4 linked regions of the Caenorhabditis elegans genome follow. The protein of the gene in region 2 interacts with the protein of the main gene of each other region in a pairwise test. Each region holds a gene or a part of one and is shown on either strand. Other genes may lie near its edges.

Region 1 (6,835 bases), 8.0 Mb from region 2:
ACGTGTTAAGAGGAGCCAACGTACAAACAAAATTGTGCATGTTTTTTCTGCAAATTCATACGTTTTAACGTATTATTTGCACTTTTATTCGTGCTAATTTTCGAAATTTGAATGAAGGAAAACTTTTTTAGGTTGATTGTTTTAATCGTCCCAATATAGCTGACAAAAAACGGGCAAGCCATAACATTAAAAATATAAAAATAAATTTAGATGCTTTTTCAAATTTTGAATAGTCAAATAATACTTTCGAGTATCATTCAAGACGTTTCGTGATGAAATTATCAATCGTGAGCAGAATGAGTCTCTGGAAAAGAAAACGCCTCTAGAAAAGAAAAACGATACTTGTGTAGTTGTTGTACTCCAAAATGTTCGAAATGGAGGAATTTCCATAATAGTCAACATACGTGTTTTATTGGTATTTTTATTTCACGCTTATGAACGATTTTTTTCTAAGCCTACAATACAGAAAGGATTTACGTTTTATTTCTGGAAAATATTGAATACTATTTTGGGTACAGTTATCACACAATTACCGAAAAAAAGTTTAATTTTGTATTATCTATCTATCATAATTGCATTTTACGATTTATTTAAAATAATAATACTATACTGTGATCTTCGAAGGATTCATTTTTATAGTGTACCAGAGGTTATTTTACTAAATTTATTAAAATCCAATAAAAATCTTGAAAGAAAAAGTGCAGTGAATATATATATATATTATATGCAAATCAAAAGTACAGATTTTGGAGAGGGGAGGCCTTTGGTGTTTTGGATTCAGTTAACAATTAAAGAGGCGAGTTTAGAAAAAAGAGGTTGTTGTTCAGTGTATAACACGAGCGTTGATTAAATAATCTATGAACAGTGCTTCCCAAACTACATAGATTTGACAAAGGATTATTAGGAAATGTTGAAAACAAAATACAAAGGTAAGTTTAAAACAAAACGTCACGATGAGTGGAGAAAATGGAGATCCGATTTCAATTTGAGTCAAGGAATTCTAATTGTCATTGAAAAGGGGAGGTTGAGGATTTGAATAAGGCGAAGAGCTCACCGGCTAACTTCGGTATAACAACGACACAAACTAATAAAAGCTGGAGTATAGTAAAGCCGAAAACCATTTTAATGCCTACATTTCGAGGTAATCGAGAACATTGGCGGTCAGGAGAATATGGGTGTTTGGACTGTGAAAGGAAACTTGGAAAACATTTCAAAATCTTGAATATTCAAAATATATAGGACGGGAATCACACATATGAAACGTTAGGTGTATTGCAAATTTTGTTGAATAACTTTTTGGACCAGGCAATCTATTAAATGCAAATAAAGAGGAGAATTTCTAATTTTTGTAGTGAAATTTTTTTAATTGTGTTTACTCATGAACTTTCTTCTTTTGGCTTCACATCGGATATCAGACTATTCATGTCAGCAAAATTCGTAGGACTCGTGGATGTTGCAGCAGCTCCGGAACTTTCAGTTGGAGTGGGTGATGAGCTTCCCGCTCTACTATTCGATTTCGAGTCTTCAGTTTTTAATGCTACAACATCGGTGACTTCAGCCGTAGCTCCTGCTGGGACTGATCCCAGAAGCTGAGTGCGGAAAGCATCCATAGCTCTGCTGAATTGTTGAACATAAAGCAACTGCTGCGTAACAGGAGTAATTCCACCGAACAACATATTTAATGCATCTGCGTTTTGGAACGTAGGTGTCACAGAAGTTGGCAAGATTGGAGAAGATGTGGTCACTGGTACAGACGGGGACTGAGACCGACGATCAGATGTTGCAATCCGTACTTGTTCATCTGAAATTTTATAGTTGCAGTAACTTGCGCTAGGCATGAAGAACTATCAATTTGGTATATAACAGTAAAAAACTTACTTAAAAGATGAGCCGCGGCTTGCTGATTGATAGCTGCAAAAATAGCTTCTTGGCTGAGCATCATCTGGTACGGATTATCTCCATTTGAATTTGGAATACTCATTGGAGCTTGATAAGGGTGATGAGTACTGCTGCGTTCTTGTTTGCGATACTTGGCTCGTCTGTTTTGAAACCAAACCTGAAAAACATAACGATGAAGATGACGCTGGGAAACGATTCACTACGCAAGAATATTTAAATTGTAAGCTTGTTTTTCTTACTACTTAATTCTTGAAACAAATATTCTAAAAGATGATGCATCGGAATTTGCTTTGTTTAACTTTCTTACATGCGAATGGTCGTCTTACTGTTTAACTGTGATATACAAGTCCCAATGATAATTTTTTTATTGATTGATTAAATAATGTTTCAAAAGTCACAAAACAATTTTTATATTGGTTAGATTTAATCTAACATGTATCTTACCTAACAATAGATACCACTTATCGCATTAGATCGACATTAATTTTATTATAACTGTAATATGAACCGAGCAGATGAGCTATTAACGCCAATGTGTTGGTCCCCCCTCGTTACCTTATTTAAAAGCAAGGTGACGATGATCTATTAGAAAAAAGAGATTAGCAAGCAATCGCGTGAAGCAATTTAGATAACATCGCGTGCTTAACTAATTTTTTCATTCGCTGGGTATAAGTACTCATTCGTGATATATTCAATCTACACAATCTCGTCGCGTCATTCCAACACCACCACATGATGGGACCAATACTGCCTTTTCAATGTGCCCCACTATTGGCGCATTTATAATTCGTTATGCATTATCAAATGAATTTGGGCGAAGAGATCTCGAGATGAAATCCTACTGTAACTTACTTGAACTCGGGCCTCTGTGAGCTGGACTCGTGTTGCCAATTCTTCCCTGCAAAAGATTTTCGGTGTAATTAAGCACTTGAAAGCGGTTTTAAAAGGAAGGGGGAATCTAGTAAGAGGGGTTCTTGAATGGTAGCACCACGCCGGAGCAATTGTCATTGCTCAATTAGATCTGAATTGAGACCGGACCTTGGTACTTCTTTCGGCACTGCGTCAATTGATCACGCATTGTTTTTGGGTAAACGCATGGCTTAAGAGGCAAAAGTCAGTAATTAATCCGTGCAATATCTAATTGATGAACGGAACAGGTGGTCACGCTCTTCCTACACAAGACACCTACCCACGTCTTAATTCCTGTTAATTCTTGTTAGTAAGATAGGATCACGATAAGATCATCACAGGTGAGAATGTCTAGGATTCGCTAATTTTTCTATGAAAATCAGATTTTTTCCAAAGATCTAGCTCCAACAGTATATACTTTGCAACCTTCAGAGTTTGAAAAATTAATAAATTAAGCATTTGGTTGCCTGCTCAAAGTTGAATAGCAAAATAATACTTTCCAACTTTTACCAAAACAACAGATTACATTTCTACTCGCTACATTGTTTGTTTAATTAATCTAATTTTATAAAAATCTAGTCCCTTGGTTCTAGAAATTATGCGACCCTCGTAAAACTAAATGGCCCTCTCTAATATTGAGCAAATGAGTTTGTGCTTCTTCAATTAAAGCGTCTGTGCGCAAACACACGCAACGCGACACTTGATATTGTGCATTTTGCATGATTGCTTCATTATGAGTTTCGCCTTTTTCCTGTCCTCCCCACCTCTTCACCACTTCATTTTTCATTTTCATTTCAAATTGGATTTGTAAAAGAAATGTTAAATGTAGAAGGTAAAAAAGGTGAAATATGCTGAACTTGACCTCGATCATTATAATGTTTGAAATTGATAATTAGTGCCATATGGTGTAAGAACGCAACACAACTGTTTCCAAATTCAGGGAGAAGGGAAGGAAAGTGAAATTTTCATATTTAATTAGTAACTCATTCTTACCGAGTGAACACATCTGGATAGTGAGTCCTGGCAAACACCTTCTCAAGCTCGTCCAACTGAAATGCACTGAATGTTGTACGGTATCTTCTTTGTTTCCTCTTTCCATTATCATCCGGACTGTTTGTGCCATCTGAAGGGGATCCGTTTTCTCTATTGTCAAGTACTGAGGCAGCTTCTAAAATATTATCTGAAAACTTACGAATATATTTTATTAAATTAAATTAAAAAATAATATCTTACCTCCAGTGGGCGTTTTCTTTCCATCGTCTTCTTTCAGCTCATGCTGATTATTAGTCAGCGCCGCAATAGAAAAAGCTGGTGGAAATGATGGGAACTGTAACGCTGGATTTGCAAACAATTGTGCCTAAAAACGACGTGTTAAAATTTAAAAATATTTAACAACGCTACCTGTAACTGTTCCATAAGACTTTTTGAATACTGATTCAAATCAGCTCCATTGGGCCTGTGAAGTGGCGGGCAGTTCATGTCTAGATCTTTCTCGTCTTTGGAAGAGTCTTCTTTCTTCAACTCGGGCATACACAATGTGAATCCAAGTTGAAACGATTTACCAAAGTTGAAAGAAGGAAGCGAAAACAGCTGGAAAAAATGTATAGCTTTATGTTGAAAATAACAATGAGAAATGATCAAACGAATAAAACGAAACGAATAAAAAAGACAAATCAACATGAAGATAATGCTAGAGAATAATATGATGTGTAGAAGTAAAGTCAGCTAATTGAATCATGGACTTATTTGCATTCAGAAAAATTAATATTTTTACTATGATGAGTAAATGAATTCAATTTTACAAGAAGAAGCTTGGAACTCATCAAAGTAGACAGAAAGCTTAGTTCAAATAAAAGTCCACGCCCAAAATCGCCTGATGATTGAGCCCGGTATTTTGATATTTCCTTGTAAAAATACATGATGTTAGGAAAAAAGGGAAGAGCCAAAAAGTGATGCGTTTATCTGGTTTATTTCGAGATGATCTACCTGACAAATATAGAATTTTAAGAAGATAATTTGATTGTGGGCGAAAGGATTTGGCAACATGGCTTGCCGAATTAACAAAATGTGAGTGTTATTTTGAATGGTGAGGCATTCTAATTCTTCATTTACGCACAACGCACAAATTCCAAAATTTTTGAATCTTAAGTGCTAGTTTATCCCAATATCCTCTGTCTCTTTTTATGTCCTCAATCCTTAAACAAATGATGAGTAGGATTTTATATATATGCCAAAAAATCACTGTCTAAAATTAGATATTCCTAGATTTTACAGATCACGATGATGGGATACTAAAAAGTCGAAATCAAATCAGATAAGCGGATTTCGAAAACACATCTCTACGACAGTTGGAATAAATAAAAAAGAAAAACAGTTCAGATTGATATTAATGGAATTTAGAGGTTTTGATTGTCTAATTTGATAAGATCTACTCAACTTTCATGTTTACCGCCAATACAGAAAAAAAGTGAACTTCTTATCAAATCTTGTCAGTGAAAAGATCACAAAACGGAAACCATGCTATGACAATGAATTAGACTAATTCGATTTTCCCTTTGCCTGGAAAATAAGAAAATCTACCGAGAACCGAATGGCGATCAACATATTCAATTAGTTAATGTGTTAAAAGATGGCGACTTTTGCCAACCACCGAAAATGACGGGGGGGGGGGGGGGGGGCAAGCGGGCTTAAAAGGGGAGGGGGTACACATTATTTTTCCTTGTTTTCCTGCCCTTTCACCTTTGTCTTTCAATTTCTCTCTCTCTCTCACTCCAAGGGGTCGCTTTTCCTGTTAGGATCAAATTACCATTTGCCACATTTTCATTAACTAATGAAATTATGAGAATGTGGGCTCCGTACTGCTCCCGGCAAAAGGTGTGATGTGCAAACGGCAAATATACCGTTTTACAAAAAAATAAATTTCTCTTGAAAAGTCTAGAAAAAGCAAGTTGGAATTTTTGAAAAACTAAAAGTAAACATTAATTATCATTTCGAAAAGCAGACCAAAGTTATTATTAAAACTTGAAACATTAAAATTATAATTCAGTACAAAGAGAAATTAAAACATGAATTGAGAAATCTGTCACAGTGGACACCCAGGAGGTAAGCAAGCAGGGAAAGCTTAATAGGATTTCTAAATAGGTTCATTAATGGATGAGGTATCTTGAGGCGGGCGGTGCATATATTACGAGATGTGTAATGATATAATTATTGTGTTGGAATATCTGAATTTTCTGTTTTCGATGTGCCTCGTCTTGCCTTTTTCCTCCTCCATCCGGAGTGTATTTGCACGATACCTGAGAATGATGTAAACGCAGAAGCTAGCCTCTAATTCAATTAGGCTTGGAAAATTAAGCTCAAAGCAAACTGATTCGAATAATTCTAGTAACTCGGATTAGAAGGAAAATAAGGAAAACGACTTTTTCGGAAATAGTTTAATTCACCGGAAATGAAACAAGTCACGGAGTTCCGAAACGCACACGTTTTTGCATATCTTGGAGATCAGTGAGGAAACAAAAATTAAACACCGAATTTTAATACAATTATCAAAAATGAATGTAACAAATAGAGGCAATTGGTTTGGTAAGTGTCAACCCGGGAGAGCAACACTCCACTCTTTTCCGGCTCCGCCCACCAAGTGTCTTGAGCACACCACCGTAGTTTTGGACAGAGCAAGATCTGCTGTTGTAGTTTGGGTCATTGGATACCTAGAAAACACTTTCAGCAATGTCATTACGATTACATGGTCATTAGAGTGCTCATAACTGCAGCACTCTAAATAAGAACTGTTTGTTTTTTGCTTCCGGTTTGGCTAGGACACGGTCATGCAATAAAACAAAAAGAATGAAAGTAACTGAGCAAATTGGAAAGGGAAAGGTTCTAAAAATGAATATGCAAATGTTGCAGTATGTCTTGTGTCTAGAAGTGCAACGGAGAAACAGTTTCATCAAATATTAAACAGAGTTGAAAATTGAAGGCGGAGAGGAAATTGCTACCCGATTATAATTGTGCCTGCCTTTTGTGTCAG
Region 2 (5,425 bases):
TAAAGTCAAAACTGCTTATATGAACTCATTTCTAACTCAAACTTGATTTGAGCTTTGTCAAAAATTCCAAAATCTGTTGATTTTAGTAAAAATCGTGAAAAAAAACGGGGGGTCCTATAGAAGTTTCACACTGGATTTTGACGTTTTTTCCAGCGCGACCTCAGTTTTTGAGATAAACTTCTGGAAAAAAATGTATATAGGTTTTTTTCAATTTAAAAACGAATGGCATTAGCAGTTTTTCAAAAAAATTTTCGGAAGTTCCTCAAACCTTCAAATTAGGGGGGGTCCTATAGAACTTTCCCACACTGTATTTTCTATAATGTTTTATTCTTCATTTCAAACAAAACTTCCGTTGGCATCAATGCCAAATTCTGACGTAAAATAAGAATTTGAAAGATGCTCTGCCCTCCGTCTTCAACGAAACGTCGCCCCGAGCTGTATCGAATTTCTTTGCCTCTTCTCAGAGTGTGACGAACTCGAAAACGAGAGAGAACTAATAGTTTTCATTTGTGTTTCCTTCTCCTTCATTGCCGTCCTTCACTCATGTGTCCGCAGGAAGTTTTCGAACGCAGGTGGCCTCCATCCGGCACTTGACAGATTTGGCGCGGCTCCCCGTTTCCGGTGTTTGCTCACTTTTGTTATGAACCAAAGCTTGACCATGTCACTTAAGAAAAAAGCCCTTGAAGAATCCCTTTTTCGGCTTTTTGTGTGGATGCTTTTAGATTTGATAGAATGGGGTCCCCTATTGTTTTAAATCATTCAGTTGTTTAGCGTAAGTGGATGTAGTTATTTGAGTTTGGAGGTTTTGTATCGTGGTTTTTAAACTAAAACGAATATTCTTTTGTGCAAAGAAATTTCTAATTTGCTCATTTACTCACTTTTACTTCCAAATTTTGAAGTTATGTTTTTTCGGTTATCCTTCCCGCTTTCCCGCTTCCCGTTTTAATAATTTCTGTCACTTTCTCTTTCATCATCACTTCTTCCGTTCCAAATCGATTACCCAATTTTATTGACAACACATCAGTGAAACTTGCAAATATTTGGAGGACATACTTTATACTCCATCTCCGAATATATACATAAATGTGTGGTCGGTGGTGTGTGTGTTGGCGGAGACCCCGGAGAGAGAGAGAGAGTCAAACTGCGAGTAACTGGAGAGATGGAGGATGATGCATTCGGTGAGGGACTGTGTGCTGTTGAGAGGAAATCGCTGGCATTTAATAGAAGAGTGCGTTTTTGTGAGTGTGTGTGTGTGTGAGTGTGTGTGAGGGCAGTCAGAGCGCGGCTGTGTGCGAGGCTGAGCGGGACGAGCGCGTCCAGGCCTGCAGTCGTCTCCCCTCTTGTTGTCTCTGCTTCTCTAGCCACACTCTCTCGTTCTCTGCATTCGGTTTTGTGTTGGTGTTGTGGACGCGGGGGTCGTTTTGGGCGATCGATAGCTGCCAGCTCTTCTTGTACTTGAACCAGTTGAAGTCATCTCCTTTTTTCACTTTGAGAGCATATTCTTTCTTGTTTCATCATTTTCAAAATTTGCTGCATTGTGCAAAACCCCTTTTTTGTAATGTCTCTTCTGTTTCTGACAGCTGTGTGTTCAATTTCAACACAGCTTGTAAACGGCGGAGTCGGAGTTAGTCTGACTCATCGAAATATTGTTATCAGTTCAAAAATGTTGACAGTTGTGTGGGCTGGAAATGGAACCACCTTTTAAAATTACTTTTGACATGATATACTTTTTGAGTAACACTTTCTTGGTAAATTTTCATTCGTAGAATTTATAAGCTTATTAAATTAAAGCCACAAGCTTTCCCATTTTCTATTATTTTTTGTCTCCCAGGTGATTCTTTTCCGCACTTCGTCATTATTTGTTCCCACGTTGTATTTATCCTCTAAAGCTCTCTCTGATTTTTTTTGTTACATTCTTCTCATTTATTTGCTCATTTGTTTCTGTTACGGTCTCTTCATAATCAACTTTCTTTCATTTTCATTTCTATGGAGGTTTTAAAACAATTGTTTTTCAGCGAAATAAGATTATGGCTGATTCGAATGACACTCATGCTCCACCAGAGCCGGTGCTAGAAGTACCGCCACCACAGGAGATTCGTATTCTGGAGACTGCTGATGACATTCACCAACGTCGTCAGGAAGTATTAGGTCACTATTCAATTTTCAAGGATCACTCGCAGACAAAACGAGATCGTCTCGAGGAAGCTCGTCAGTTTCAATATTTCAAACGGTTAGTTCTAAAATTTTGTTGGGTTGTCTAGAATTCTAATTTTTCTGTTAAAGAGATGCTGATGAGTTGAACGTTTGGATTCTTGAAAAGCTCCAGACAGCTCAGGAAGAAAACTTCAGAGATCCGAGCAATCTCCAGGTTGGTACCATCTTCTCATTATTTCTCAGTCGTATTCATCATCTATTTCAAAGTTATCTAAAACATAAATTTTCTGTGGTTGGTCCCCAGCTTTCCATTCTCAATCCTTTTTGACGACAACTCGCACAATTCTTTTCTCTTGGTTCATTTTCCCTCGGGGGGACACTCGGACCCCTTTCTTCTGCTGCCTTGTTTGGGGGCACACAAATGTCTTTTGGGAGCAACGACAAAGGCGCAGCAGCAAAAATATATTGATTTGAGTGGTTCGCTTCAGCGCTTTTCTCTGTGCCTTCGTTTCGAGAAACGCATCTGCGACCCCCAACATGCATGCTCACTTGAAGATTAGGAACTGAAAGCAATGTAGTGCACAATTACATTTATAAACAATTGGCTCGAGTAGAGAGGAGTACATGTGAATTTTGCTAACTTAGTTATTTTCTGGGAAGCAGAAAAGATGAAAATGAAATCTTTTTACACAATATCGTCATTTTGGAAGATATGAGCGCTAGAAATTAGGAGTTAAAAAGTCTTTGAGGAAACAATTTTTTACTGCTCCTAATATCATTCACCTTTACTTATAATGAAACACACTGAAAACCCAATAAATTCCTGTGGGGGTTCCAATTAATCCTCGCCGCCGTTTTTTATCATGCGTTCCGATCGAAAGATGAGATGAATACATATAGTAATAGACGGGAATCTATAAAAAGTCGGGCGTTCGTACACGGCCTTGACACTGCGTAATCGCAACTGACGTGACCTGACTTGATCCGCCGGTTTCCTGTAATGCCTGGAATGATAAGTAATACTGACGAGTAAGAAGATAGATGAGGCGATTATGTTTCTGTTGCTAGGTTTAGCGGTTGAAAAAAAAATGAGAGTAAGAGTTGACTAGTTTTGAAGCATGAATTGAAAGAGAAAATTTTTTTACATCAAAATGAAAGTATGATCAAATGTAAATCATAAAACATTTTCAGGCCAAGATCCAGAAGCATGAAGCGTTCGAAGCTGAGGTTCAAGCTCACGCTAAGACCATCGCCAACCTCGACAAGACCGGAAACGCTATGATCCAACACAATCATTTCGCTAGCGAACACATCAAGGTACTTAAAATCACTAAAGACATTTGACAGTCTGATGATTAATTATTTTCAGAAACGCTTGGAAGAGTTGCACGCCCTCTGGGATAAGCTCTTCTTCAAACTGAAGGATAAGGGAATTAAGCTACAACAAGCACTTAAACTTTTGCATTTTATTCGTCAATGCGATGAAATTCTCTACTGGATTCGAGAGAAGGAAACCTATGTCACCGCAGAAGACATGGGAATGGATCTCGAACACGTTGAGATACTTCAGCGTAAATTTGACGACTTTTTGAAAGAACTCGGTAACCATCAGTACCGAATCAATGAGATCAATCAAGCTGCTGACAAACTTGTCGAGGAGGGACACTCTGAGCACGATCAGATCTACAAGAAGCGCGATGACGTTAATGATGCTTGGCATCGTTTGAACACTTTGGCGGCCACTCGTAAGGAAGGGCTCTTTGGAGCTCATCAAGTTCAACGCTTCAATCGCGATGCAGACGAGACCCTTGCATGGATTGGAGAGAAGGATCTTGCTTTGTCAAGCGATGATTACGGAAGAGACCTCAATAATGTTCAAGCTCTTCAACGCAAGCATGAAGGAACTGAACGTGATCTTGCTGCTCTTGAAGGAAAGATGCTCCAATTGGAGAAAGAAGCTCATAAGTTGGCAGAAACTCATCCAGATCGTGCTGAAGCGATTCATCAAAAGAACGATGACACCAAAGCCGCCTGGAATGCACTCAAGGAGAAGGCTCAACACCGCAAAGATGGACTTGAGAGAAGCTTCCAGCTTCATCGTTTCTTGGCCGACTACCGTGACTTGATTAGCTGGATTGGAGACATGAAAGCTGTCATCGGAGCTGATGAGCTTGCAAAAGACGTGGCTGGCGCTGAAGCTCTTCTTGAAAGTCATCAAGAACACAAGGGAGAAATTGATGCTCGTGCTGACTCGTTCAACCAAACTGCATCCGCTGGACAAAAGCTCGTTGAGATGGGAATTCCAGAGAGTCCAGAAGTTCAGGAGAAGCTCGAGAAACTTGACCACGAGAAGTCTTCTCTTCTTGGATTGTGGGAGGAACGTCGTATTCTCTACGAGCAATGTATGGATCTCCAACTCTTCTATCGTGACACTGAACAAGCCGAAACCTGGATGAACAAGCAGGAAGCGTTCCTTGCCAACACTGATTTGGGAGATTCACTAGATTCTGTCGAGCACCTCATCAAGAAACACGAGGACTTTGAGAAATCGCTTGCTGCTCAAGAGGAGAAGATCAATGCACTTGACGAGTTTGCTACCAAGCTCATTCAAGGACAGCATTACGCTGCTGATGATGTTGCCGAGAGACGCCAAGCTCTTCTTGACCGTCGTCGTCGTCTTCTAGACAGAGCTCGTCAACGTGGAAATGCTCTCAAGGAAAGCTACAAGCGCCAGACATTTGACCGTGACTGTGATGAGATGGTTAGCTGGATCACTGAAAAACTGTCCACCGCTCGTGACGATTCTTACTTGGATCCTACCAACATTCGTGGAAAACTCCAAAAGCACATCAACTTTGAGCAAGAGCTTAAGGCTAACGAGAACCGTTTGGACGATATTCGTTCTACCGGAGAGCAAATCATCGATAGTGGACACTTTGCTGCTGATCATGTAAGTTATCAACTTTTTATAACTATTAGTAACTTTTTTTCAGATCGGAGACCGCCTTCGTCAAGTCAACAACTTGTGGAACGAATTGGTCGATGCTACAAACAAGAAGGGAGCCAAACTTCGTGAAGCTGGAAACGAACAGCAATTCAATCGCAACATTGAAGATGTTGAAGCATGGTTGTCGGAGCTTGAAGGACAAGTTGCTTCCGAGGATTATGGAAAAGATCTTGTATCTGTTCAAAACCTTCAGAAGAAGATTGGACTTATTGAGTCTGATTTTAACGCTCACAACGATCGTGTTGATGGAATCAAGCAACTTGC
Region 3 (4,933 bases), on a different chromosome or scaffold from region 2:
GTACCTCTAGCAAGAATAATTGGAAGAAGTTCTGAATATTTTGGAAGATACTCTTCAAGTGCTTGTTTCATCAATTTTTCTGCTTCCGCTGGATCTTCTTTTTTCGATTTTCGCGATTTTTTCACATTTTGTTTGTAGACAAGAGTTTTCTCGAAATATGCCGCCCACATCATCAGGTAATGAGCGATAGTTCCGATAAAAAGAAGCACAAGGATTCCTTCATACCATGCAAGTTTTCGCATTCGTCTGGAAAAAATTATTTATAAAACACTATTTTAAAAAAATCCGAATTATTTCAGTTAACCATGTGATATGGAATATGGTGGAATGGGAAGGAAAATATTTTGGTATTTCTGCCAATTTTTAAGACTAACACATTGCATTTTATTTCTGAATTTGATCAGATTTAAGATTGTCACGCAACTTTTATTGGGCAAACCTAGTTACTTTTTTTTTGAAACCATCGCAAAACGTATAATAGCAATGGGGATTTTTTTAAACTATTTATATGATTAATTGGAAAACTCATTCAAATTTTAAGAATATATTTACAGTCAAAAAGCATAATTTTTTAAGAAAAACAATAACAATCTTATGTAGTTTTCTCGTATTTTTCTGTACATTTTTTTTCCAATTTTCAAAAATAAAAACCACTATGTGAATTCCCTCACCTATAGTAATACATAGGATGCCTCCACGAAGGTAACCCATTTTCCAGAACATTATCATATTTTTCACGAAGTTCTGTAGTCTTCAAAACTTCATAGATTCCAGCAACTTGACGAAACTTTTCCGTAGCATCAGGCGCAGAATTCCTATCCGGATGCCATTCAAGTGTCAATTTTCGATATGCTTTCTTTACTTGATTCGACGAGGCATCTCGTGGAATATCGAACCACTCGTAGAAATTAACTCCGACTTCTTCCACTAAATCATATAGAGCCAAATCTTCTGATGTCCATTGACATTCTGTTAAGGATATTAGGAAGGCAAGGAGAAGGATGACCCGCATTCTGCAATAAATATTTCAGAAAATTCAACCAAATTTTTTTAATCTATAAAAATTAGAGATTTAAACGATTTACGTATACATTTTTATTATTGGACCAACAAAAAATAATAAATAACAAAGTTTTTTATTTGGTTTTACGAAATTTTGAAGCGAAGACAATTAAATTTTAAAGTGGCTTCATTAAACAAAAAATAATAAACTCTGAAAGAAGTGAGTGAAGAGATCGGCGAGGTAAAGTCAGGTGCACAGGCGATTTGTTCATCTTGTGCTCATTTCCCAAATTTGAATTTAATCGGAGCCCGAGAGTTGCCTGATTTGTTCAATATCGCCTGCTGCTCATTCTTTTTCATGTCCGATTTCTGACGTGCAAGTTCAGCACGATCTCGTTCCAATTGGCTCTTTTGCTCAAGCATTGCCAAACGATCTTCCTCCTGAAATGAATAACTGTTAAATTAGGTCGAAGTGCGGAAATTTGATTTAATTTAAACTAATAAAATCTAAAATTGATTGTGACTCGCGTTGAAGATGAAGATGATATCCTTGCACAAATACCTGCTAGACGGGGGGCCGAATCATCAGCGACGACATGTCCTTTCGTTTGTTGGCACACAAAATTGTATAAATCAAAGAGGAAATGGAATTAATTGAGGAGAAAAAGAGAGAAAAATTAAGAAAAATGTTCAAGACGAGAAATAGATATTTGATATCTTATAAGCTGCTGAAAAGATGTAGAAAAATGAATAGAATCCGGCAGATTTCGTAGATCTTTCGTATAATTGGAATATTTGCATTCTTGAAGTTGGAGGAGACAACTTACAAATTTCTTGCGACTTTCTTCAGCTTCCAGAACTTTTCTTTCTAGTTCTGCTTCCAATTGTTTGCACTTTTTACGAGATTCTTCCTGAAAACTGGTAACATTAACCTTTGTAGAGGAGAGGAAATGTTTTATAAAGTAGAAAAAAAACTAACATCCCGTTTCTTGCATTCCGCCAATTCTACTGCCATTTCTGCTTCGATTTGAGCTCTCAACATCTTTTCCATCTCATTTCTTGCCGATGTCGCTTTTTCAGCCATCATTGCTTCCAGTTGATGTACACGAGCCGATACCTGAACCATATGCTTTTAAAACGACAAAATTGGAAAGAAATTAATTACCTGCTCAACAATCTTCTCTTCCAGCCATTTTTTAGTTGGTTCGTTCAAAGTGCTCACGTCGAATGGGATGCTTGTGTCAACTGGGGGATCCGACGGTGGTGGTGGAGGAGGAGGTGGAAGTCTTAACGAAAAACAGGTTATAAACTATCTTCAAACTGGATTTTAAAACTTTAACATGATATGTTCATGGAGATAGTAGTTTTTCTCACTTGACAATTATTATAACTTACCACCTAAACTCGAAATTTTGCGATTTTCATTAAAAATACGCTGTCTGGTCTTGAAGTGACCGATTTTCAAAAATGCAAAAGTGTGTGCGCCTTTAAGGAGTACTGTAGTTTACAACTTCTTCTCATTTCCACTGAATTTAACTTGAAATTTATTTGTTTTTATTGCTTTTTCTCATATTTTCAAAAAATGAAATATTTTTCAATCGAAAAACTATGAAAAATCACCTAAAAGCTTGTTTGAATTGAATAAAATCGATCGCTTCGATACCAAAAAGAAAAAACAATAATCTTTTATAAACAAATAATTGTCTAACTTCAAAAAGTGTGATTTTTTGAAATATGAAAATTATTTGAGTTTCCGTATTCTGGAGAAATATCGATTAAAGTTGAAATCTTACTTTGGAGATTCATTTCTCTCTCGTCGACGTCTCTCTTCTCTGAAAATACTTCCCAATTGATGTGGTTCGGCTTGTGAACCTTCTGACGATGAGCTTCGATGCCTGGAACTTTGAACCTTTTATTGATTGAATTTTAAAAATATAAAAACCTCCGTTTTCTCTCTCTATCCTTTCGGTCTCGTTTTCTTTCTCGATCACGATCTCTGTCCTCACGTCTTTTTCTTTCTTCTCGATCTCTTTTTGGTGACCTCGAACGACTTCGTGATCTTCTCGACATTATCGAAAAATCTGAAACGATTTGAATAATGAATTGTTAAATTCTGAAAAAATAAAACTGAAGAAGACAGAAAATGCAGGATGCGTATGTGTATTGACCCGCCAATTGTCGTTGTACACGGCGGTGGACTAGTATTCCCCATGGTTGAAATACGTCCACAAGTATTGCCGGCCATGACCAATTTGCAGTTGCAATTGAATTAATCGAACAAAAATTGTTTCATTTGTTGAGCATTTTAAATAATAAATTAAGCTTGAGAACAAAACAAAAAAAGAAAAATTCCTAGTTGACATGAAATATATTTACAAGTGAAAGATCAAAAAACCCACAATATTTTTCTCACAGAGAACATAAAATCAATAAATATAAATACTAACAAACAAATGGAAAAATGTTTAAAACATCAATCTTTTCTAGTTCCCTGGTTTTTCATCTGAATTACGTAGATCATAGGAATAACGACGATAAGAATGGCGACAAGCGGAAGCCAGATGTTCATGGTTTCCTGTAGGAAAGACTTAAAACAATTAGAAAGCTGTTAATAATTTATATAATTGTACCTTTTCAAATGGATTCTCCGTTCCCGCCGCCGATGGTGCACTGTACATTTCTTCTTCGTCAGGCTCATCTCCTCTGATGATTTGAGGTTTGAAACTATCTTCAGTTGCATCGTCTTCATACTGTAAATTTTTATATTTGAATGTTTACGAAAAATAGTGAAAACTTCGAATTTATTGCATAATATATATTTAATTTTTATCTCTATATCAACTCACAATGTCAAAATCCTCCGGGAAATGATCTTCAACAATGAATTTTTCTGGCGGTGATGGCAGATCTTCAACAGTTCCACGAAGAATAGCGTATCCATTGAGTTTCGGATTATCATGGGGACCTTTTGAGAGCTCAATGATGACTTTTCCTTTGTATTCTCTTGAATGTCCAGACACCGAAATAGAGCTACCCTTGATAACCACTGGAATATAGCTGCAAAATAAAATCATCATTTACTATATATAAAGTAGAGTTTCCTTCCGTCCAATATAGGCCGGACCAACACTAATTCACATAAAATTTAAAATTCCATTAAAAAAAAACAAGTTTATTTATATAAATTTAAAACAAAGTTTTTTTTTCGAACTTTAGTTTAAGCCAATTGGAGGAGGTCGAGTCGTAGTCTCGAACGACACCGGCTGGTTATTTTAATAAATATGAATTATTATTTTAATAAATCTTACACATCATGGGCAAATCCTCGACCGCCAGCTGCATCAAAAATGTCTAGATTTTTGACAGCCAGATGTGAATTGATTCTTATATTGAAAATTTTTTCTCCAGCTTTTTGAAAGTAGACTTCCGAGAATTTCAGAATGATGACGTACTCGCCATCCTCGCTGATTGGAACATCGTAACTAAATGATTCTTTGCTCCATCTCTCAGTCTGAAATACATTTCTTCGATCAACCAGTTAGAATTATTTAAAATCTACCTGATAAATTTCCATATCATCTACTTCAGCATTATTGAATGAGTATTGCATTCCATGATCTGAAGAGACACCATCCTCTGACGTATCTGCAGAATACTCGATTCCATATGCTCCCAAAGCATCAGGGCCTCCTGGAATAACATAAAAAAGTCAATTTCAATATAAAATCTCCATGAAAATCTTACCGCAATTCACTGCAGCAACGACCCGATTCTTCAAATTCACAGTTTTTGCTGACGAGACGACGACAATGAGAAATGAGATGAGCAGAAGCTGGATGCTCATCTGAAATGCACGAATTTGAAATGAGATGGAAAATGGATGAGCGGACATTTATTAGGGAAACGGGAACAAGAGGTCGATGTCCAATTA
Region 4 (5,555 bases), on a different chromosome or scaffold from region 2:
TAAAGGAATTTTTGAACCACCATAGGTTTTTAAACACACCAAAAAATGTTCTATTATTTTTCTGCGTCACGAAAAAAGGTAGGTAGGCAATGATTGTATGGAAAAGGGATGAAAAAAAATGGAACTGAAATTGAAAACGGGGCAGCGAATGCGTCAGCCAACGAACAAAACATCATTGTGCATCAGACAAAAAAAAGAAGAAAAATATCACCAAAAAAAGTTTGTCCAACTGATTTTGTTTCAATCAATTCAAGTTCGATGACAACAAATTGGGAGAAGGAAGGGCGTCGCCAATGAAATGAGAAACAAGTTGGTTGAGACGATGAAGAGGAAAGAAAGAAACAACTAAACAGGCAAATAGTTTGTTAGAGAGAGAGAGAGAGAGAGAGAGAAGAGGATAACTTATACTTTCACACAGAGAAAGAGGAACTCTATGTTTTTTGTGTTGAAAAGAGAGAGAGAAAGAACTAAATAGAGAACCGGTTCACGATATCATTGACACTGACCGAAATATGTTTTATTGAACAACATCGAGAGGGATTAAGCATACAGTCGGCAGAAAATTGAGAAATTCTTTCAGTTTTAATTTTAATTTGAATCAGAAGCAAGGGCGTCGGGTTTTCAATTTTTGAAAAAACTAAAAATCGAAAAATCGAAAACTTTTCATTTTTCGATTTTTCTAAAAAGTTTTCGATTTTTCGATTTTTAGTTTTTTCAAAAATTGAAAACCCGACGCCCTTGCTTCTGATTCAAATTAAAATTAAAACTGAAAGAATTTCTCAATTTTCTGCCGACTGTATGCTTAATCCCTCTCGATGTTGTTCAATAAAACATATTTCGGTCAGTGTCAATGATATCGTGAACCGGTTCTCTATTTCATTTTTCGATTTTTCTAAAATTAGCTTTAAAATTTTGTTCATTGTTCTTCATTTTAGAATAAATTGTTTTGTTTTTTTCTCAACAATGTAAACGAAATTAAACTTTAAAAATCATATTTTATGGTTAATTTTCTGAAAAAAAATTGTCTTTTTGATTTTTCGATTTTCCGAAATTTTTAAAAATTCGAAAAATCGAGAATTTTTGTTTTTCGATTTCCAATTTTTCTATTTTGGAAAAACCGAAAAACGACACCCTTTATCAGAAGTATCATAATCTATGTGGATGTATTTTTTTTGTACATTTGAAATTTTCCCGGATTTAATTTTTTCCCGGACCAGAAGAGATAAATATAAATCGAGAGTTTGAGAATAAAAAATAAAAACGAAAATTTCTCGATTTTTTGGACACTAGTAAACTATTTAAGATGAGGCACAATCACTATTTCATTCGAAAAAACAAAAAAATTTCATTATTCGAGCAAGAGACTCCAATTTTTTTTCGATTTTCAAAAAAATTCGTTTTTTTTTTTAATTAAAGCCGGAAAATTGACTTTGTCAGAGCGGAATTTACAGAGGCCTAGCAAAAAATGTGACTCGTGGGCCATTAATTCCTATCCCATTATATTATTTTCAAGAAACTTATAAGTTAGTCATGCCATCGGAATTTCAATCAGTCACGTGTGACAGTCTAATTCTGAATACAAGGAGACGCCCATTTCTCGTCTGCGTCTCTTTATTTTGAATTCGTTGTTTTATTTTTCTTTTTTTTTGGTTAAAAACTAGATTCCTTTGAGAAACATATAATTTCAAATACTTACCACTTCCACAGAAACAGAATCGCCAATTTTCAGATTCAGAATGAAATTGAACCATTCGAAATTTTGATAAACTTCTATTCGTTTCTCTACACTGACAGCCAGAAGATGTCTGAAAAGGGAAAAAATTTTATTTATAAAGATAATAAATATACATTGCTTGATCTTGGTTTATTCTCATTACATCGGATCTGGTAATCATTGCACAAATCAGAGGAGTGCAGTCGAGTTCCTGAAATTTAAAAAAATTGAGAAACTGAAAAGGCATTAATTTGACGAAAAATTTTGTGCCAAAAATACGGTAGCCGATCTCGAAACGACAAATTTTTGGAATTTTTATCGATTTTTTAATCGTTTTTTCAAAAAAAAAAACAAGAATTCTGGAGAAAAACTATACAAATTCAATGAAAATTCGCCGGGAACGAAAATTTTGAATTACAGTTCTTTTAAATTTGTCGCGTCGAGACCCGCTACCGTAGTTTTAGCCGCAAAAATCAGGGTAATTACGATACCTCCATGGGCATTGCTAATCCATCACGTAAATGCGAAGAAGCTCTTGATTTTGTGAACCATTCTTTTAATTCAGACATTTTCCAATCATCATCTGCCATTTCGCGAACCATTGTTCCTGGTGGGATCTGAAAATAGAAAATAAAATTAAAAATGTTTAATTGTGGAAAAAATAAGCAAAAGACCAAATTTCATAACGAAACTTCTCCAAAATGCTTTACAAAAACATGATTTCAGCTAAAACATCAAATTATGCACGCTTTTGAGTGTCGGCCGGATTTTTTTCTCATATTTTGGTTGTTTCTCCGTTGATCAATCGATTATCGGCTCAAAAATTACCTAAATCAACAAAAAAAGCGTTTAAAAAACTTAAAGATGACAAAAAATAAATAAAAATCAAATTTCGGCAGCTACGACACGGAGAATTGGCGATTTTAGATGAAATTCTGTTTTTTTCCCCGAAAACTATCGCTATTCGGTCTTTTTGGCTCATTTTCCTCATTTAAATCCACTTCAATCACCTCAATAACACATGGTTCTTCCTCTCTTCCATAATTCGATGAAAATCGAATTCCTTGAACTTTTCGTTGCAAAAGAGCAACTATTAGCTCGGGAGAATTCCTATTCCTATCCAGCTTCGTCGTCCTATCTCGGCTATAATCGCTAACATCCACTAATTGATCATCTAAAAAGCCGGAGCCAGAAGCTTCATTAATAAGCTCAAATCCATCTATTAATGTGCCGACCGGTATATTTTGATTCTGAAAAAAAAAACGAATTTTTAAAAATCGATTTAGCAAGAATAATGTTACTTACGAGATTTAATCTGTTAGAATTGCTTGTATTTTCACTTGTATATAAATTTGAATTTTTCTCGGACTGTGTAAAATAATCAAAATCGTGTGCAGTTAAATTTGTTATTGTATTTGATCCCGTAAGTTCATCGAGTGGGTTACGAAATTGATGAGATCCAGCTGAAATTAAAAACATAGTTTTAAAAAAAATTATTATTATTTCGTAAAATACCTGATTGCTCCGGAAACTTTGCAAATTCGCCGGGCATTCTGAAATATGCGGGTTGTTTAGAACGTTTGACGAACGACAACATTTCAATAAATGAAATAAAGATTCGTACTATAAGTGGAGAGCGGTGGACGAAGCGCGCGCGCGAAGCTCAGTGTTACGTTTCGGTGAGCAAATAGAAAAGGACGTTGTCCAAACAATTATTAGACTTCCGCATCATATACCTATTTGGTGTTGAATAATATTTTTGGTTTTGACCTCGGGTTTTCCTTGCGCGCTAGGTTTTTTTTGCCGAAAAATAAAACATCGAGCAAGCAAATGACAGAGAACGTTTTCGAAAGAGAATGAGAGAACGAGAGCTTTGACACAATTATTTACAGAAAGCGAGGGAAAATGATAAGAGGCTTGCGGAGCAGATAGTTTATGTTGCAAATGCCATTTAAAATTGCGATTCTCTTCAAAAATGGTAAATTTTATGCGAAAAAATGTAGGCAAAGGTTGAGCATGTTTCTGAAAAATTTATTACGGAATTTACGACGAAAAAATCTTTAAAAATCGCTGAAAATGTTCAAAAATGCATTTAAATGAAACAAAACAAAAATAAAAATTCAAACATGTTTCAAGGGAGGTGCATGTCTGCGGATGGGTCTCGCCGCGCGCGCTGGAAATAAAGTTTTGGTGTCTGCGCCTGTTACTGTACAATTTCTAGGCTTGTTTTCTTCGATTTTATTTGCGGAAAGAAAATTATTGTGTCTTCTAATTTTTTTAAAATGTTCCATTATTTTGTTATTTAACTCAAAATTAATTGTTTTTATAGTTAAAAAAACATTGTTAAAATTCTACAGTAACATTTAAAGGCGCACACACTAAAATTTTATTTTAATTATACATCGCGTGGCGGTACCCAGCCAATATGAGATTTTCCGATATTTAGCGACAGGTTAACATAATTTTTCGCTTTATTTCTTTCTTTTTGAAATAAAACGAAGAAAAAAGATAGTAGTTAGTGGAAAGTGGAAAGTGGAAAGTTTTCAGAAATCAAAATTTCAAAAATATCCAGAATTGCTTTAGAATGAAAGAAAACCGACAAAAACCCAGTGAGCAGATAACAAGATTCCCAGAGCCCACCCCATCTCAAATAGAGCTTCAAATTGACAATTTAAAGTTTAGAGCAACCTTTTCAAGGGTACCAACATGACTAAAAATGTTGTGGCTATTTAAATGAGTATTTGGGTAAATACAAATTTTTTGAGATAAATAAAGAAAAGATGTAACATTCAGATTGCATGTACGTTTGTTTGAGTGCGGTCCAGGCACATGAGTTTATTTGTCAAAAAGATTGGACATTTTGAAGAAGACGAGAACTCGAAATGTAGCTGGAAAGTTTTTTGAAAATTCAAATTTAAAATATAAATTAAAAAATACAGAACCTTTTTTAAATCAAACCGAACACGCAGTTCAATGCAAAAATCGATAAAAGTCGAGGAAACGGAAAGACCGGTTCTCTTGAGGATAGACGGACAACGCATTCGATTGGACTTGCGCACCAATATAAACAACAATTGAATGCAATAAAAATGTAACTGAATCCATCTTATGGAATAGTGGAAGTTATCACATTTAATAAACAAAATTAATAGTTAAAAGTATCAACAGAAAATACATTAAATTATCTTTTCGTCTCTCCTATTGAACATTGAGTTATTCAAGATAATATTTTTTAGCTAGAAATGACGTGTGTTGAACTATTGTGTGGCCTTAAGTTTGGAACCATAATACTATAATGTGAACTTAAAGACGCACGGATTCATTCAGATGGGTCTCGTAGCGATAATAATAACCGGGGCTCATCTTAAAGTCTCCAGTAGTCGCTTTTTAAAAGGAGTTTGAGATAAAATACTTAGAATTTGAAGAGAGAAATAGGATTTTAAAAAAAATTAATTGAAAAACTAACTTGGAGAAAAACTATTAATATAGAAGTGAAAAATATATTATCTAGCCAGGTAGGACGGAAACTGAATACAAAAAAAATATTAAATTCAAACTGCCGCGTTTCTTTTTGCCAGTGTGTCTAATTCTCTTGGCACATGGTCAGAGAGGTTTCGCAAGAAATATTTCAACATTTTCTTGATTACCAAATATGTACAATTATATATCTAAACAGATAACTTTTCATTTGCTAGAAAATAGTATTATATTTATTATTAATAAAGAATTTTTACATTTTCCAGAAATGTGAAAATTCACAGTAAAAGTTTTGGCAAACTGCCAAAAATGTTCAGTCACTTATTAATGCCAAAATTTTTAAAAATTAATTTTGAAAAGTTTT

Evidence for each region.
Region 1: the proteins of spc-1 (region 2) and alr-1 interact in a two-hybrid assay, tested with the Caenorhabditis elegans proteins (one large-scale study listed by BioGRID).
Region 3: the proteins of spc-1 (region 2) and F44E2.3 interact in a two-hybrid assay, tested with the Caenorhabditis elegans proteins (one large-scale study listed by BioGRID).
Region 4: the proteins of spc-1 (region 2) and cyld-1 interact in a two-hybrid assay, tested with the Caenorhabditis elegans proteins (one large-scale study listed by BioGRID).

The regions. Positions count from the first base shown.
Region 1 is NC_003284.9:11,121,221-11,128,055, forward strand, and holds alr-1 (Homeobox ARX homolog alr-1), read right to left. Parts: upstream 4,401-6,835; 5' UTR 4,339-4,400; coding exon 4,210-4,338; intron 4,166-4,209; coding exon 4,042-4,165; intron 3,989-4,041; coding exon 3,802-3,988; intron 3,724-3,801; exon of another isoform or gene 3,431-3,723; intron 2,998-3,430; exon of another isoform or gene 2,851-2,997; intron 2,798-2,850; coding exon 2,752-2,797; intron 2,057-2,751; coding exon 1,879-2,056; intron 1,802-1,878; coding exon 1,377-1,801; 3' UTR 651-1,376; downstream 1-650. UniProt on the Caenorhabditis elegans protein: Transcription factor. Involved in activating or repressing transcription of genes in neurons. Regulates expression of nuclear hormone receptor odr-7 and LIM homeodomain protein lin-11 in AWA and ASG chemosensory neurons.
Region 2 is NC_003284.9:3,123,664-3,129,088, reverse strand, and holds the start of spc-1 (Spectrin alpha chain), read left to right. Parts: upstream 1-2,027; coding exon 2,028-2,230; intron 2,231-2,283; coding exon 2,284-2,368; intron 2,369-3,345; coding exon 3,346-3,471; intron 3,472-3,523; coding exon 3,524-5,104; intron 5,105-5,147; coding exon 5,148-5,425.
Region 3 is NC_003281.10:8,826,216-8,831,148, forward strand, and holds F44E2.3 (uncharacterized protein), read right to left. Parts: upstream 3,091-4,933; 5' UTR 3,073-3,090; coding exon 2,945-3,072; intron 2,898-2,944; coding exon 2,796-2,897; intron 2,289-2,795; coding exon 2,168-2,288; intron 2,120-2,167; coding exon 1,982-2,119; intron 1,914-1,981; coding exon 1,830-1,913; intron 1,444-1,829; coding exon 1,282-1,443; 3' UTR 1,118-1,281; downstream 1-1,117. Other genes in the region: F54F2.9 (DnaJ homolog subfamily C member 1), read right to left, coding at 1-246, 672-1,012; F44E2.10 (Malectin domain-containing protein), read right to left, coding at 3,476-3,577, 3,633-3,752, 3,849-4,059, 4,311-4,513, 4,562-4,692, 4,747-4,894.
Region 4 is NC_003281.10:9,907,392-9,912,946, forward strand, and holds the start of cyld-1 (ubiquitinyl hydrolase 1), read right to left. Parts: upstream 3,268-5,555; 5' UTR 3,267-3,267; coding exon 3,230-3,266; intron 3,178-3,229; coding exon 3,020-3,177; intron 2,965-3,019; coding exon 2,725-2,964; intron 2,332-2,724; coding exon 2,206-2,331; intron 1,926-2,205; coding exon 1,849-1,925; intron 1,806-1,848; coding exon 1,697-1,805; intron 1-1,696.